Arabidopsis thaliana: one gene and its partner. The protein of the gene in region 2 interacts with the protein of the main gene of each other region in a pairwise test. Each region holds a gene or a part of one and is shown on either strand. Other genes may lie near its edges.

What was found.
Region 1: the proteins of AT2G12400 (region 2) and ALMT1 interact in a protein complementation assay, tested with the Arabidopsis thaliana proteins (one large-scale study listed by BioGRID).

What each region holds. Positions count from the first base shown.
Region 1 is NC_003070.9:2,654,800-2,663,821, reverse strand, and holds ALMT1 (aluminum-activated malate transporter 1), read right to left. Parts: upstream 5,221-9,022; 5' UTR 5,023-5,220; coding exon 4,812-5,022; intron 4,690-4,811; coding exon 4,549-4,689; intron 4,416-4,548; coding exon 4,143-4,415; intron 4,049-4,142; coding exon 3,927-4,048; intron 3,840-3,926; coding exon 3,696-3,839; intron 3,384-3,695; coding exon 2,793-3,383; 3' UTR 2,512-2,792; downstream 1-2,511. Other genes in the region: AT1G08440 (aluminum activated malate transporter family protein), read right to left, coding at 1-138, 312-452, 594-795; BSL2 (BRI1 suppressor 1 (BSU1)-like 2), read right to left, coding at 7,258-7,344, 7,434-7,573, 7,668-7,803, 8,075-8,150, 8,230-8,429, 8,498-8,596, 8,693-8,777, 8,868-9,022. UniProt on the Arabidopsis thaliana protein: Malate transporter critical for aluminum tolerance. The STOP1 transcription factor is required for ALMT1 expression.
Region 2 is NC_003071.7:5,003,007-5,012,680, forward strand, and holds AT2G12400 (plasma membrane fusion protein), read right to left. Parts: upstream 5,437-9,674; 5' UTR 5,135-5,436; coding exon 5,038-5,134; intron 4,956-5,037; coding exon 4,762-4,955; intron 3,955-4,761; coding exon 3,773-3,954; intron 3,696-3,772; coding exon 3,411-3,695; intron 3,330-3,410; coding exon 3,271-3,329; intron 3,199-3,270; coding exon 3,162-3,198; intron 3,077-3,161; coding exon 3,005-3,076; intron 2,918-3,004; coding exon 2,593-2,917; intron 2,513-2,592; coding exon 2,138-2,512; 3' UTR 1,878-2,137; downstream 1-1,877. Other genes in the region: AT2G12405 (uncharacterized protein), read right to left, coding at 7,786-7,887, 8,336-8,584.

The DNA of each region.
Region 1 (9,022 bases), on a different chromosome or scaffold from region 2:
TATGCGCCAAATCCAATATCTCGTCCTCTCTAAACCCCGAAACTGATATCAGTGCGAACGTCAATATGAATATCAATACCCCATAATCATATCTTGCCTTCACCCGCGGGAAGAACCTCACGAACGTCGACAATGCAGCTGCATATATATATATATTGTTAGTCTTCGCTCTTTAATTCGAGACAAATGTATGCATATATGCATGTTTTCTAGACTCTTCGCTCTAGCCCCCGTCCGAAAAGGTTATATGGACCAAATCATCAAAATTTCATATAAAAAAAATAAAAAAATATGAGTGTTATGAGGGTTACCTAGGACAAAGACAAAGATGGCAAGAAGAATGGGTTCTACTGTTGGACCCGACAAACTTGCTAGGTGATGAGCTCCAATCCCTAGTCCTCCTGCTACCAATGTTGCCACTGCTCTATTTAGTCCTTTCCCAAGTGTGGCCCCTAATTACACACCAAACAAAAGTTAAACAACCTTTTGTAGCCAAATTTATACAGAAAAATCTACAAAATGTTTATCGCTGAATATTAGACATATTCAAATGGTAGAAAGTGGCTGATTCTGATCACATGACGAATACTGACCTACAGAGAATTCAAAAACAACAACGACGGTCATGACAGCCCACATTGCATTGACACCGAAGTTGTCGTAGAGAGGTTGATAATAATAGAAGGAAGAGACCAAAGCAAGAGCAAGTCCCACTTTGAAAGCATGCACTACTCTTCTCGGATCTTCTTTACCTACTCTCCTCCCTTCTCTCACAATCTCTCTCACTTTCTCCATTACACCCTTTGATTATCACTCAACTTTCTGATAAGTTTCAGAAAGAGAGGAAGAAGTAGAAAGATGACTTGTTGTTTTGAGCGGATGGATCGTCGTTATTTATAATGAGCATTATGAGACTAGAGAGTCCTGTTCGGGACTCGTGAAATGTTATTTTATTATTTTAAGAAAAAAATCAGTGGTGCGTTGTACTTCATATCGTACGTTGAGGGTTAAAGAAATTGAAAATGAGAAATATAATTAACTGGAGACAGAGTATTTTTAATTAGAGGCAGAGACTAGTACTTACGTAACCAAGTTCTACTTTGGTGCTGATTTATCCGATATTTAAAAGCGGCTATTAGTAGCATACTTTAGTATTGTTCTCTTAATTTATTTCCGAAATTTCTATTAAAATTCCACGTCCAAAAGATTTTCTTTATGTAAAAATAAAATAGTGCTATCCAACATTTGTTTTCTAACCATTTTTAAAGTTGCTAGCTGTACATTTATAATCAATATTAAAAAAAAAAACGTAATTCACAACTCTTTCATTTTTCATTTAACAGAAATTTTTTATCTTTAAGAAAATAAAATAAAATTAAAACTCAATGCATTTTTTACAGGAACGTTACATCTAATTATTTCCGATTCTGAACATTTTCGGCGAGTGTAAGAAAATAATAAAATAAACAGTCTATTAATAATAGTTTGCGTTTTTGACATGAATAATCATGACAAACTCCAAATAAATAGACATTCAATTTGTCATTTTGTCCCATCGTTTCTTTGTTTCAAAGCTAGTAAAATATCCGTCCGTTTTGGGCATTCACATATGTTACTTTCACTAATATTTAGACCTACCTTATTAATATTCGACCAAATTGTCCAATTTTTTTTTTTTTTTTTTTTTTGTATATTGAACATATCCACTTAAATTCTCTTTCTCTCAACGAAAACTGACATCACCACTTCTTATGAGATTTGTTTTTTTTTGTCAACAAGAATCACAATTTCGATAATATCTAATTAAATATTCAGTCATTCATATTTCCTGAGTGAGATTTGAACTTGGAAGATTGTTAGATTTTTTTTTATCAACAAAGAAGTTTCGGATCTTATATCAACCCTCCACAGCAGAGAGATTTATGGATTGTAAAAAGTAATAATAAATGAAAATGTAGTATTGGTTAGAACGCGGAATTAGATAGCAGCTGGTGCTTTTTGCACCGAGTCACACTCAGCCTTGCCAATACCAAGTTGGCATCAACGTACGGAATCCATTAGCCATTACCCCAATCGTACAAGGCAACTTTATTATACTATAATCTAACCTAGCTAAATTCACACAATTTCCAGCTTTTGTTTCTTATATATATCCTTAATGTATTGAACGTACTGTATGTTTGTTACTTCATCGGCAAGTATGAAAGTTTGACTTTAGTGAGAAAATTTGTCACCTGAAACATTCTATTAGTTGTGCATATTACCGTATTGGTTTTGAGAATTGAAAGCGATTACAATGACGCTTTGGCACTGGCCAAGACCACTTTTGTTAACCGACTCCTCCTCTCACTGCGCCTGATCACCGCCTCCTCCAATGATAAATGATTTTTTTTTTCATACGATATATGTTTGGAATAAAATTAATTATATTCATAGAAAATAACAATCTAGAGTTTTTGCCGGACTTGTCTTTATCTGGCGCCGGTCTATGTTCTTTTATTTACTGAGGTTAGCTCTCTAAAACACCATAATCCAAAAATAAAACCATGCTATTTTTAAATTTTTTGATCAGTTGGATATAAAAATCTTTAAAAGAGTAACGCAAAGGAAAACGAAGACCAAGACTTTATTAAATGTGTGACCAATAGTTCAAAAATGATCAAAGGCGACAATAGTATTTGTAACAAACTTCAAATCTGAATGAAATACCCGAATATGTTATATACCGATGGTCTCGTCTCTATAATCTTGCGGGTACAAAAGACTGCTCCTCAAATAATGAGTTGAATTACTTACTGAAGATGCCCATTACTTAATGTATGTACATGTATTTCACCATCTTCATGTTTTTCATGGTTTGAGTTATCATCAACAATCTTTATGGCAACATGATGACATGAGTCCTGTGAACTCCCTCCACGTGAATCATCAACATTGTTTGATCTATCATTATCAACGTCATGTAAAACTGTGACAACATGATGATCTTCATGAGAATCTATTGGCATGGCACGACCAATGCTTCCGGAATCCGACTTCTCGTATAGCACGGTCGGCCTCATCTTGTTCTTAAATCTTGCAGCGGATGCAAGCTCGTGTACAGATTCCGAGATCTTTTCGGTTAAGTTAACAATATCTATGAGCATGGAGACAGTCGTCATCAATGAGATCATTTGAAGAGGCTCAACATCGTTCAAGATGCCTGATTTAAGTAAAGTAGAAAGAGATTTGCATGCAGCTTGTGAGTTTGAGACATGGATATCAGAAGAAGATGATTTTATCATTTGTTTTAGTGAAATGGACATTTCTTTCATTGAGTTTCCCGATTCCGAGCTCATTCTTCTTAATGGTGTTTCTAATTTCTTTTTTATGTCCACTGGGATCTAATAGAAAAAATAAGAAATAAACAAAGGGTTAGAAACACGTTAACCAGAAACATATACTACTATACATGTTTACACTAAAAAAAAAAACTATATAAACAAATTAACAGACTAAGAATTTCAACCTGATGTTATTTTTGTGTTTGCATTTGCGACATGTAAATATATATATATATATATATATAGATATATATATTGTATTAGATCAAAAATAGTTATAGCATAATAGCATATTAGTTTTTCTTCTTTTATGTATTTTCAAATTTTGTTTTAATTAAATATGCAAACACCTAACAAAAAGTTAGCGATTACCTGAAAATCTGAGTTGATGTATGAATTCAAGGCATCAATCCTGTAGGCACACTGCCGGAGTAATGCACCAACGGCAACATATTGTTTCCATGGATGCCTAAACCTAAATTGTCCATGAGGCGGTTCCCATTCTGCGTAATTAGCCTAAACGCAAAATATCAAAACAAAATCAATCCAAATGATTTCATAATTGTGAAGCAAGTAGGGAAAGAAAGAGAGAGAGTAGCCCACCAAAGCTTCTTCATCGCTTTTGGAGTCAAGAACACTTTTATATCTCTCAAGATTCTTTTTCCTCTTCTCCACTACTTTGTAGTCCCCCTTCTCTCTCGCTTCAAAATATTCGTCCCCAAAATCTGCCAATTTCACATTCACTATCTCGTATATGTATATATTTATGTTCTTGTAGAGACATAATGAGGAAAAGAAAAAGAGAAAGAAATAAAAAACCTTGAAGGAAGTGGGAGAGAGTGTCAAAGTTAGAGGCAAGGAGAGAATGTAGATCTTGTCCAGCCCAAACAGGACAGACAAAGATAGAGATAAGGATGCAACTGACTCCTCCAATCACCACTGTCGATAGTCTGCTTTCTGCCAAATCCATTATCTCTTCGTCTCTAAACCCCGACAACGATATCAGCGCGAACGTCAATATGAATATCAATATCCCATAATCGAACTTTGTCTTTACCCATGGGAAAAACCTTACGAACGTCGACAACGCAGCTGCACATATATCACAATACTAATTACTCATTGCCCAATCTTCTTTGATCTAGTCTTTAGCCAAACAATGATTGACCAAACGCTTGGAAACGCATGGTAATCTGAAAATGTAAAGAGTGTTATAAGGGTTTACCTTGCACAAAGACCAACATGACCAAAAGAATAGGTTCCACTGTTGCACCCGACAATCTTGCTAGTTGATGAGCTCCAATTCCTAGTCCTCCTGCTACTAATGTTGCCACTCCTCTATTTAGTCCTTTCCCAAGTGTAGCCCCTAAGTACACATCAAACCAAAGTTATTTAATATTATGGCCAAAAGTTTACAACAAAAATTCTTGCATTCTCCCTAGATATATCTACTAGACATATTCAAATGATAGAAACTAGATGACGAACCTACGGAGAATTCAAAGACAACAACGACGGTCATGACAGCCCACATTGCATTGATACCGAAGTAATCGGTGAAAGGACCGAAAGGTTGGTAATAATAGAAGGAAGAGACCAAAACAAGAGCAAGTCCCACTTTGAAAGCATGAATAATTCTTCTCGGGTCTTCATTCCCTACTCTAATCCCTTCTCTCACTATCTCTCTCACTTTCTCCATAACACCTTTTGATGGTCACTCAGCTCTCTCAAGTGTTTTCTGATTCTCTGATTACTTTCAGATAGAAAGAAAAGATGACTTGTTGTTTTTATGTACATGGATCGATGTATTTATAAAGACCAAGAGAGACTCTTGTTTAGGACTCATGAAATGTTATGTTAATATTTATAAAAAATTAGTGGTGCGTTGCACTTCGAGATTTCAGGGTTAAAGTCTTAAAGAAATGGAAAAGGAAAATGTAATAAAAAAACGGAGTCGAACCTAGCCCAGTAAGTTGGGCACTAGTTAAGCCCTCCCCTTAATTGGAGCGACGCGTGAGGGTTTTTATGCTGAGCTGGATTAGTTAGATGAACCGGTAGGAGTTGATCATGATATTAATTAGGTATTTAACTATCATACTTTAGTGAATTGTATATAGTGTATGCATGATACATTTTGATTAAGGAATATAAAAGATTTAACTAAACTTTTTCTTGCAGCTTCCCCAAATAATTTCGTTTCTGTAATCGACAAGATTAGTGCCCTCAACACTTGGGCTCCAATGTTCGAATGATCTTTGCCATCTACTTGTTTGTTCCCAACCAAGTGCATACACACCTCAACAAAATTTTGTTGTTCAAAGAAAACTTGGACTCTTTTACTGAGTCCAAAAAAAGGACTCTTACTGAGTTGCTTAGTCATTATTGTTTCAATCTAGTCTGCCACACACCAAAAACATAAAAAATGTCAACAAGTTGGTACGGACCCCAATACCCCGATCGTACAAGGCTTTTATTCTTTGGATATTTTATATGTATAACAACAGTTGGAAAAAATGACCTCAAACTCAGATGCGATGATTACAAGTTTGACCAATACATCATCAGGTTCAAAACTAATTGTTGATTCTCTAATCAAACAATTAATTTGTACTAAGGGATTTAGACAAATTCACTTCTCTCTTAGCTCACGAATAATCAAAGGAGAAGAACAAAGTTGCTTGAATAAAAAGCTAGAGTTTGCTCTGTAATAGTAGTCTCTTGTCTTAGGTTGGTCATGATCCTCTTAGAGGGCTTGACCCCCCCCCCCTATTTATACAATGGGTCCAACATACCAAAATATGATAAACTTCTAATTATCTTAGGTCTAAATCTTCATTACTTCTATTCTTCATGAGATCCTCTTCTCTTAAATGGAAGTTTTCCCTTTACACGACCTGAGAAGCCGCCTATGGCGATCTTGACTGTCGACCTAAATCTTCTGGCGAGCTCATGACTTAGGCCCATTAACAGACTAGCCGGGATACCCCGGTTCAATCGAATTCTCGATTTTATTCACGTTATTCCTTGGTTTAAATTGGTATTATCGGAGATGCTAATTCCTGCACCAACACTAATCAAAACTTTTTTTTTTTAATCACCATCCTATATCCAAAACAATATTAAAATTTAACCATCTAATACCCTCGAGTTTTAACTTCAACCATCTGATCCTCCAAAAATTTTGTTTTTTTTGTTCTCACCGCTAAAACATGATTTTTTGGAGCCAATGACAGCATCGATGCCAAATCACATCATATCGACATCACCAGTGTTTCATTTGAAGGCCACAAAGCACATGTATAAATTTATGAATCTCAAGCAAATCGAGTGACTGAGTCCATCACCCGAGGATCCATGAACCAACTCAAAGTCGCTTTCAAGGGCATAAGTTCTTTCTTTTCTCTTCTTTTTTGGTCTAGCTTAGACAACCAAAAGGAGCCAGGAAAATTTTTCGTATCATATAATCAACACAAATGTTACAAAGTATGAACTGACAATAAAATTAAAATACACAAAAGCCCCCCCCCCCCACGACATCAGACCATCCTCCACCTAATCAACCATTACCATTCTAAGAATTCATACCCACTCGCCAAAAAACTATACCACAAACGAAAACAACGGAGACAATTGAAGAGGAAAAAAGAAAGATATGACATGATAAAAAAAAAGAAGAAACAGCAGACTGAATAAAAATGAACGAGAGGACTAAAGCCCGGACAAATAAACTCTACAAATCACTACTAAACCACCACCAAAACTGACTTCTCTAACCTTTTAACATCTTAATTTACACACCCCCTGATATCTTCAAGCCTCATCGTTTCTCGTCTATGGCTCATCTTTTTCTGTACACATGAGGAACACCAGGAGGCAGATGTTACAAGTGTTTTTTGGAGCGGTATGTATGTGCACGAGTGCCTCTTTATCTGCCTCACATCCAAGCCAGAGAACCTCCTCGGTCATTTGAATTTTGTGGGCGTCCTCGGGTTGGCGTCGCTGGCCTATTTGCGTTCAGCTCCTGCGAAAAGTGCATACTACGCTAAGTACCAATGTTTCAGGTCAATAACTATGGACTAAGATTCAGTAATGAAATGAAGCAATATGAACCTGCATCCATGTGTCTTCTATATGTCTTTCTGGTGAAGTTTCAGGCGATGAAAGTGCTGGAGGTAACGGATGAATGAGCTTAGGTACCACTACAAGATCTCTCCCTAGTACCAAGATAGCCCCAGCATTGTTTGCAGTACCTGAGATTTAGTATAAAAACTATTAAGAAAACAGAAATAACCCCATCAAAATATCAAAATCCGGTTATGGCACTTAGTGAGTCCATGTACATACCACAATAGTTTGTAGCAGAAAAGAGCGTTATCAAATGCCCCTGAGCAAAACGCTCAAATCCATCCATTACGCATTCGTGTGCTCGTACAATCAACTGAAGATCGTTGTTGTTGCAGAACTCCATGACACGGTCAGGCTACAATTGCCAAGTTTTGGTGAGTAACAGAACAGGTAAAAATGAAAAGCAAAAGCAATTAACACTTCTTCATATGGTAAATTATTGGGAGCAAACTAGACTATATTCCTTGGTTTCAAGAAAAAAATATCATATATTCTTGGTCTAACAATAGCAGCACCTCATTGCACAGAATAAATATTGTGAGAAAAGAAAGAGATTATTGGTTTTCTGAAGGGAGGAAAAACGAAATTCAGACAACATAAAATTAAAACACAAGAAAATTACTTACCCCAAAAGTAACCAATCCAGGGCCTCTAGCATTGGGCCTTAAACCTTCGACACTGTCATTTTCAGTTGGATCCGACCTAACAAATCCAAATTAACAAATTAGTAAGACTCGACCAAAACATTAAGCAGACCAACATATAGAAGCTAAGGACTAACCATAATAAATCCATAAGAACAATGGAGCCAGCTTCCATTGTAATTGGACGTTGAATATTTTCTATCTGCTCCACATGATTTATAGAACGACCAATACCCCCATGCATACAGATAATTTTCTTCTCAATCGATGCAGCAAGAGGTAGCCAATTGAATAAACGATTTATTCGGTGCCACACCCAGATTCCATCACGTTCACCCTACAAAGCAACCACAACATGAGACAAATAAACATGGAAACAAGAGATTCAGAAGCAGATTACATTACCATTCGCTCAATACACTCTATCCGGAAGCCAAAAAGGGCATTGATATCTGCAGCTTCATGGTTTCCCCGAATTAAGTGTACATTATGCTGGTACTCAACCTGCAGTACCAAAAATAGAACGTCAAACCTTCTATGGTCAAAAGCAACTAGAACACCTGCATCAAGGCAAAACTGACATAATACACTTAGGACTACCTTTAGTGCAAGTAGAAGGGAGATTGTTTCTAGACTGTGTTGACCCCGATCAACATAGTCCCCTAAGAAGAGGTAGTCGATATATCTGACAATTAAACAACAAAATGAGCAATGTCCAGCAAAAAGTAGCAAGAAGTAGGGCCACTGATGTCACAAGTTTTAGTGATGCACTTACGATATGTCTCCAGCTGTAGATGGTGAACCATATTCATCAAAAAGGCGCATAAGATCCCCAAACTGCCCATGCAGATCACCAAATATTTTGATAGGAGCTTTAAGCTGTAATACAGTCGGTTCACTTGCGAAGATACGTTCTGCACTATCACAAAG
Region 2 (9,674 bases):
AACAAACAAAAGTTTAAAATTAAAGGAATTTGGGAAGGAATACTTACCAATATAAGAAAATTATGGTTGATGGAGTGAATCTTTGGGAGTTTTTCTATTTGCTACTGGAAGGTATACTCTGGTGATTGATGTGTTTTGTGTTTACAAACCATCCTTGGTGTATCGGAGAAGGAGAAGAAGAAATCATGGTGGGCTGGGCGTTTGTTCATTGGGCATGTGTTCGAAAGAAGGTCTATTAAGGGTGTTGTGTACATGTGACACCTCAATAAAAATAAAGGGTTATTGAGAATTGTAATGGATGTAAGAAGACATAAATGTTTTCATAACAATTCTCAATATTATGAGTATGTAAAAAACTAATCTCAGACTTACAATTGCAATTACGATTTTAAAAAGATTTACAATTGTACATTTATGATTTTAAAAACAATCAATCGTTCTGCGATGTTTTGCGGGTTAAATATTATCAGTTTGTACTAATATAAAAAATTTGTCTAATTTCTTAAATCCTATATATCTAATTTAAATATAAATATATGATTTATTATTTATTTTTATTTATTTTTATATTTAAATTATTTTCAATTATTATAAAATATATAGTAAAAAAAGTTAAAATATTTAAATTTTCTAAAAGCTTTAATGTGGAGCCAGACACGTTAGCAAAGTCGGCTTTACAGTCTTGCAACACCTCCTCCTTTACTAGAGTTTGTTCTCTCTTATTTTTAATCAAGCTTTCACAAAAGAAAAAGAAGATAAATCATCTATCGATGAGATGACATGCTTGTTATAAAGAATTAATAATCCATGATTAAAAAAATAGCATAACTAAACACGTAAATTTTTTCAAATGTCAAGGGAAAAGATTTGATGCTACTATACCCAACAACGTTACATCATGTCGTCGGTGTAGCCTTAGTTCGAGTAATAAACATTATCAATCTAATATGTAAGTCGACCGTTCTTTGAACATCTTCAATGAACATCTATATTCTTTTCTCCATTTTAACGATGACTTTATTGTAGAGGCATTTTGCTCTAAGACCATCTCAATGGTTGTTTTTATTTTTCTTCTAAATATAGAAAAAAATAGAAATCTCAATTTTTTACTCCAATAGTTTCTTAAAAATAAAGATTTCTATTTGTTAGGGTATCTCTAACCTACTCTATCTTAGAGTAAAAATGCAAAAAAAATTTCCAACCCTACTCTATAATTGATTTTAAAATAGAGAATTCTGCAGATTTGGTCTATATAGAGCAACTCTATTCTCTACTTTATTTTTGAATTCAATTTTTTTTTTATACTTTAGTCCCTCAAATTTAAACTTTTTTATTTAATACATATAATCATTTTACACACAACAATTACAACACATAGTTTTATAAACTTAACAAGCAAACAAGTACTAAATTTAAAATAAACAACATAAGAAAACTAAAACATACAAGTAGTAATTTAATAGTCTGGTAAATTGCGTGTAGATCTGCCAAGATAGTTAAAATGTTTTAGTTGATCATATGTGAGAAAAATATTTTAATGGTATTATTTTAAAAAAATTTGTAATGTTTTATTCTTGTTATATGATGTAATATTTTTTTAATAAATAATTAGTGTTTAATTTAAAATAATATAATATTTTATGGAAATTTTGCAAATCTATAATATATGGATCAAATTGTAAATTATATAATTAAAAGGTATTAGTATATAAAATAAAAATAGAATATTTCTAAGAATATTCTTTTTAGAGTAAAATATAGAGATATACATTGGAAATGATTTTAAAAAAAAAAATAAGAGAAAAAATAGAGATGGGTTGGAGATGCAATAATGTATGCCTTTAAAACAGAGAAAAAAATTAGAAGAATACATTGGAGAAAAATCAACTCAGAGGAAAAGAATAGCGACATGCATCGGAGATAGTGATGTCAAAATCCCACAAAATATTTGTCAGACAGCGAGTTCGAACAATATTAAGAATCTTGTAGCTCCACAAATTAATATATATCTCATTTCAAAGTACTTCCCAAAACATGTAAAAACAATCAAAGATTCTTTCCATCATTCACTACACAGAAGGTAACCAAATTCTCACACCATAATGTACAGGGTAAACCTCCAAAAGAACATAATCTCTCAGTGGCCCTTGCTTCGTGGATCTTCAGAGTGCATAGCGTTGTAGTCTTTTGTGTAAACCCGGTGCCTCCTCTCTCTCGCATATATAACCCAAAACACCAAAGATGACATTACAGAAGCAGACACCACCACAAGACCCACATAGATCCATTGTGTGTATCTCTTAAGTCCCGGACAATGATCCCTCTCTATATCAGTGAATGTAGACCTCACGAAGTCACACCCTTGTAGGTCTGCCAAGAACGGTCCGTACTTGTACAAACCATAGCTTACATTAACCGCTGCAGCCATCTGGCTGTAAAGCTTTGGTGTCAACCGTCCCGGTGTACTACATGTTCCCGGTGTTACAATTTGGCAAGTGAAGTTCTTCCACACCTGCATAAAAACAAATCATAAGACAGACTGATATGACTTGGGAATTTATATATCATATTATGATGGAATCCTCGGATTACCTCGGTTGCATTGTTCAGATGGACCTGACCAGGCTGGCATTGGCGGTCAGAGAGATCAGCGTTGAAGGGGTTACAGAGTAGAGGCATTAGTGGACCTGACTGGTTGTAATAAAGAGGCCGGAATTGAGGCGGGAAATTCCTGTTGGTCATGTTGCTAATGGCATTGTCAAGAAGATTGACCAACTGGTATGTTACAAGCTTAGTCCGAGTCAATGTTTCTCTCGCGGTTGCATTATCAACACACGGTAGAATATCGTCTAGAGCCGTGTGAGCTGTTGGGTTTTGGACCCATTGGTCCATCGCAACACACGTATCCCCTACAACGCTGACAAAGCAGAAGCCATTTTTTTCTTTGAAGAAAGCTATCAATTATTGAGTAGACAAATAATGGTAGTGAGAGAAGAGAACTCACTTGTGTAGAAGTAAAAATCCACCACATAAGACGAAGGTAACCGTGACGAGAATCCAACCAAGGATCACCAACCTGTCCATTGATAATCACAACAAACTTTTCAGCATATAGTGGAACCAATGTAAAACAGAACATAAGAAAATGAGACTTCACTTACGTATATACAAGGCATTGCAGTCCAAAAATAGAGAGAACTGTATGAGAATAATGCAAGTTAAGTTCTGCAAGTTAAAGAATTTGCTAATGCATATAACATGAAGACTTACGAAATCCGATAAACGCAAGGAAAAGCATCACAGCAGCGATGATGACGAGAGCAAGTCTCCTACAACAATTAGAGACAAAAAATCATAAGCAAAAAGGTGAAAAACAGATGAAAGATAAAGATATGGTACAGAATATTTACATGATGTCCAAGACATTTTGTATCTTGTCTTGGTTCTCCATTGTTTTCACAGAAAGAGTTGTGGCGGACGAGTTTATCTTTCCCTGTATGTTGTCGATACTCGAGAGAACATCTTGTGGCAAAATGCTGGATTGCACATCAACCTTCTTAGCTGCATTAAGATAATCTGACACATTCCTGAGGTTTTCTGACGTGAGATTCGCTTGACTCACGACATAGTCCAAAGTATCGGTTGTGCTAGCATGAAATTTCCCTTGACCAGTGTAAAGAAAAACACATCCTATACTGGAATATCAAACACAAGATACATAAATATCCAGCAAGAAACAACGATGACGAATAGAATAGCTCGTGAGAATTACATTGCTGCGATTGTGAACGAGATGAGGAGGATAAGGGATAGAGCATAAGCAACCCGGGAATAACCATAAGATTGACGGGCACAGCAGCAATAACAAAGGCAAATCAGAGACAATGATAGCCCAAAGAACACAAACCAGACTAGTGCTATTATAATGAAAGGCGCCGCTGTATAACCAACAGACTGCACCACAAGCAAAGAATGATAGAGATTGATTAGTATGTCACCAATACCATACAAAAGACTCATCAAAAATATCAATTGGTATCAAACATCTTTCATCTATATAAGCATAATAAAACTGATTCAAGTAACAAGGCTAGTCATAGAGCTAATCCAAATTTCCATTGATTAATCCAGAGTGAATATTACAAAATGATAAAGATCAAAACTTTTAAAGTTCAAAATTCAGGAATATAAGAATCAAAGTCAAATAAACCAAACACCCTAACTACACTTAGTCATAGAATCAAAACTTTAATTAAAATTTAACTACAGTTAGCCATAGTTTTAATGGTAAAGATGAAAACTTTAATCAAAATATAGGAATATAAGAAGAACCCAAGTCAAGTAAACCAAGCACCAACTAGTTATGAATCCTAATCCACTGATTAATTCATCATGAGCATAACTACACCTTAAAAGTTAAAACAGTCAAACTCCATTTAGCCATACTTTTGATGGTAAAGATTATAACTTTAATCAATATTTAGGAATATAAGAAGAACCCAAGTCAAGTAAACCAAGCACCAACTAGTTGTGAATCCTATGCTATTGATTAATTCATCATGAGCATCATAACTACACCTTAAAAGTTAAAACAGTCAAAACTCCACTAGACTTTTGATGGTAAAGATTATAACTTTAATCAAAATTTAGGAATCTAAGAAGAACCCAAGTCAAATGAAGCAATACCCACCTGGTAAGGAGAGAGATTTCACACAACAACAAAAAAAAAACATTTTTGGACCACAGAAATAAAAGACTCACAGTCAAATAATGGGAATTGCTTATATTCCATCCACCAGTGTAGAGTTTGAAATTATCAGCAGGATCTTTTCTTCTTGTTCTCTTTGCAGCTAAAATCAGAGATGAGTTCTCTCCACTTTCCTCTGCAATTACTCTTTCTATTACACTTGTTCTCCATTCTTCTTCTACACCTCTTTCTTCTTCGTTACCAACCCCTGAATCAATCAAACACAAATTGAAAAATCTTATAACTATTAAAAAAATGGAGAAACAACTTTTGAAAAATCTAAGTCTTACCAGTAATCGATGTTGTTCCAGTGACGACCACAAGAAACGAAGAGAGTAAACACAGAGACACAAGTATAAACACTCTTTGAGATCTGAAACACAACATTATGTCTGGTTCTTTTTTTTTTTAACTCTCTGTTTTTTTTTTCTGTTGTTGTTGTTGTAATGTTTATTCTCGATCGTGTTTGAGAAACAATGGGGCTCTCTCTCACGTTAAGAACACGATTGATTTGAGAGGCATTGCTTGACGCGGTTCTGTTTGATTCGTCGAATCATCGGTTTTTCCATAATTGATTTAATTTCCAAATGCAAATTAAGTTAATTTATTTTTTCTTTCAACATTTCGAAAATAGGTTTAATGTGCGCATTTGTAAAGTTAACCAATTTCTTACAAAAAGATGTTCCGAGTAAATATATTTATTAATAAGAAAATCAGAAGTAGAATATTTTAGTTGTGATTATATTCTCTTGTATAATTAAATTACGAACATAACATAAATTTTTGTTAATAAAATAATTTATGATAGTTATGCGGCATAACTTGTGCCGACGCGTCACAAAACAAATCTTTGAGAATAAAGACTTGTTGTTGGAGGTGACAGAGATATTTTATCTTTTGGGTACAACTGTCCCTTAGTTTAATAATTAAAACTTAAAAATCTTGAAACTAAATCTTCCAAGTTCCAAGTAATTGTAATAGATTCTTTGGTACAAACTTTCGTATTTACTATTAAACTGTCTTCAACTACCGTTGTGAATTTGTGATGTAAGGTCGAAGATTATTTAGATTTGTTACTATGTGGCCAAAAAAAAACAGATTTGTTACTGAATTATTAATTTCAAAAATGTTTATGAGTTTTTATTTATCAAACAAAAAATATAATACAATAAAATAAAATAAAAATCTTCAGAATAGAGAACTGACTAAAAATATATAATAATTTAACCGGATTTTTAAGTTTATTTCTTAATGAAAATTGAAAACACATAAATAAAAACAAAAATACTAGTGCTGAGTTAGATAAATATGCACATCTGCATATTATACCCAATCAATTTTCATATTTGTTGGAGATAATCTGCTTTTCTAAAAATAAACATATAACTAATTATTAATTAATCTTCACAAAAAAAAATCATTAGAATCAAATCAATTATTTTCTCTCTCTTCTCTCACAACAATCTTTCAGAGAGAGAAAAGTGTTTTCCTTTATTTCCGACGATGTTTTGTCGGATTTTGTTTCCGGTGAAATCCGGTTTTGTCTATTCTCGCCCAAGTGCGAGTCTATCTTAGCCACTATGGCTAGTTTTTTGTTTTGTTTTTCTCTCCTTTTGCAGATCTTAGATTTCTTTTGGAGAAGAAGAATTAGAAGCTGAGTGCTTAATTCAGAATCTCAAGAATCATCAGTTTCTCAATTCTGGTCAAGGGGAGAATAAATCCTTCATACCCCTAATGGACCGTAATCGGCTAATGATGAAGGTTTCTCTTTAAGATTGTGAATTGTGATGAGTGGGACTTGATGGCCGGCGTAGAACAGTTCAGAAGAGCGTGTTTTGCGACTGATCTGACCTCTCGCCATGTCGTATGTTCCAGCAGTTCATAGATCTGATGACTCGGATTCCTGTTTCTTTTCACTCAGAGAATTTAGCAAAGGCAGAGAATTGGTGATTGGAGTTTTAACTGAATTCTGGTAAAATCCTTGGATGGCAAACGATGATTTGATTAGCAGAGTTCGGTGGATTTGATCGGAGTTTCAGCCCGGTGGAAACGCTAGGAATGAGTCGGTTGCGTCTTCTTCCACCTTCAGCAGATGTTACACACGTGTCACATACACATGTCCCTTTTACCCATACGTGTTCGTCTATTTTGATTGTAATAGCTATATTGGGTTAATTGGGCTTTCTGTACTTGGGATCCTTTTCACCATGTATCCCTTTTATGGGTTTAATGAAACTGACGAAAAAAAAAAAAAACTAATTATTAATTATTCGTGGCGTAAGATTCACACATAATGACTAGATATTTTTCTTTTCTTGTTTAATTTATTAAGTACTAGATTTTAACCCGCGGTACACCGCAGGAACAATTTATTTTATAAAGGTAGCATATATAAAAGTTTGCAAAGTGTATCTATCTATAAAATATTTTTATTTTATAGTTTACAATTGTTATTAAGTAACGTCCTGTCAAATCTGTCCCGTCAACCCGTCTCGTAAAAAAAACAAATATATTTTATTAATATTGATCTTATTTATGATATGTTTATGAATCATTGTCTAAATATTTTGTAATTTTGTAGTAATTAAATGCTATCAAATATCTTTGCGGTTTGACGATTATAATCGAATTGTTATAGTCATGCAGAAAAGCAATATCAAAAGAAAAAATTTTATAGTAATTAAATGATATTAAATATTTTGGAAGTTTTATTTTAGTAACTAATCGTGTAGTTAATTGGGAGAGATTTTGGGAAGATTGTTAAATGTCAAATATTTAATTCGAATATTTTTTCTCTAATTATCAAAAACAAACATTAAAATTTAGTGGCAGCAATTGTAAATAAATTCCAACTACACGATTTAGTTCACAAAATGGCTGCAAAAATGTATATGTAGATTTATACTAAATTTAGATTTGTTGCAAAATATACATGAAAAACGAAAAGAAATTAAAACAAAAAAATCAAAAACTATGAAAAAATGATAAAACAAAAAACACAAACGAGAACCACCAGCATATCCTATGTGAATCAGTCCTCAAACCTCATAGCAAAAGGACACTTCAGCTTCTCCAGAAACTAAATGTAAAAACGGAACCGACGACATGTGAGCACCAATGAACAACCAAAGAAACTGCCTCTGGCTACCAATCCAGAGCATGACACATCAAAAGCAACTCAGACAGGTTTGAGAACACCCACTAGCAGTGGCGGAGCCACAAATATTTTTTATGGAAGTCATATATTAATGTAAGTATATTATAATATGATTCTTTATTTAACTCAAAAAAATTTCATTGCTGATTTTTAAAAATATTCTTTGCTATTACATTTGCTTAATAAAAGAGGACTAAGAAACATATAACTATTGCTATAAATCCTACAATTATAGTTCTTTTGATAATAATATAACTAGATTCTGACCCGCACATACGTGCGGGGTTTCATATTTTAAGAATTAGATTCTGACCCGCTCTTTTGAAATTTTTTGGGGAAATGTTTTTTTTTGGCCGGAAAAAATCGAATAACCTTAAAAAATAAAAAAAATATAAAAGTCATGGGGTCAACTGAACCCTCTCCTATCTAACCCTCCTAGACGAAACCGCCGTCTCTAATGAACCTTGAAACTCTTTAACAAGGTTCTCGCGATGTAAACCAAGCCGCATCACAACAAAGAACCCAAGAACAACCAAAAATCCAATCCAGCCAATGCACAAAGCATCGAAGGACAACAAACGGAGGAAAGAACTTCTCATAATGAACTTCAAGTCCACTGCCATACCAGAGAAGAACCAAGTCGCCACATTCCAATTCGAACAGGAACACCAACGACCCATATTTGGAGTCTAGGCTAAAGGGAGTTTAGCTTAGAGTTAGGTTATCCTGATTAAATCTATTCTCACGAGATTTTATTTAAGGGAAGATTATCCTTAAGGTTTCACGTTAATAGAAAGGGTCGATAAATCAAGAGGGTTGTGCTTGTTTTCGCGTTTGTGAATTGGTTGTAATTTGCTTTCTTGTTTTAATGAAATCAAATCATGACTTGGTCCCGTGGAGTACAGAAAACCGAACTTCATTAACAAATTTCTTATCTTCTTTATTCCGGCAATTTATTTTACCACATACGTACGTATAAGTGGTATCAGAGCAGGTTCTCGATATAGATCAAGTTGAATTTAAGGCTAATTAAGACTGCGATATTTACAATGATATTGATTCAAGCCACTTCAAGTTGATTTATCAATGTGCATCAGCTCAAAAAGCATGAATTTTTTTGGAGAATATGTTTGAGGGAACTACAAGCGTTAAAAGAACAAAAGTGGATATGTTGGGATCGCAATTTGAGAATTTAAGGATGGAAAAGAGGAACCCGTGGCTGATTTCAGTGCAAAGTTATGTGACATATTTAATGAGTCCTTTGCTCTTGGAAAGCTTTACAAGAACAAAAAGTTGGTCAAGAAGTTGAAGAGATCATTACATGTAAAATTTGTGTCAAATATTTTGAAGTTGAAGAAGCTCATAATCTAGATGAGATTGCTTTTCATGAGTTTGTTGGGATTCTTCTGACTTTTGAATTAAGTAAAGGATATGAAACTAAAGGGAAGATGAAGAAGGAGGATGAGTGAAGAAGAAAGTTAACATTGGATTTGCTCTTAATGGATAATCAATTGAAGATTCAATGGCTATGTTGTCAAGACATTTCACTAAATATCTGAAGCAAAAGAGAAAAGAGAAGAAGGATAAAATTGATGAAGATTTTGAGAAGTTCTTTAAAGAATGTGCAATGTTTTGAATGCAAAGGATATGGACATGTTTGTTCTGAATGTGCCAATCTACACAAGTATAAGAAGAAGGCTATGAATGTTGTCACTAGTGATACTGAAACTAATTCAGATAAAGAAGAAGATCTGATGAATTTTATGGCGT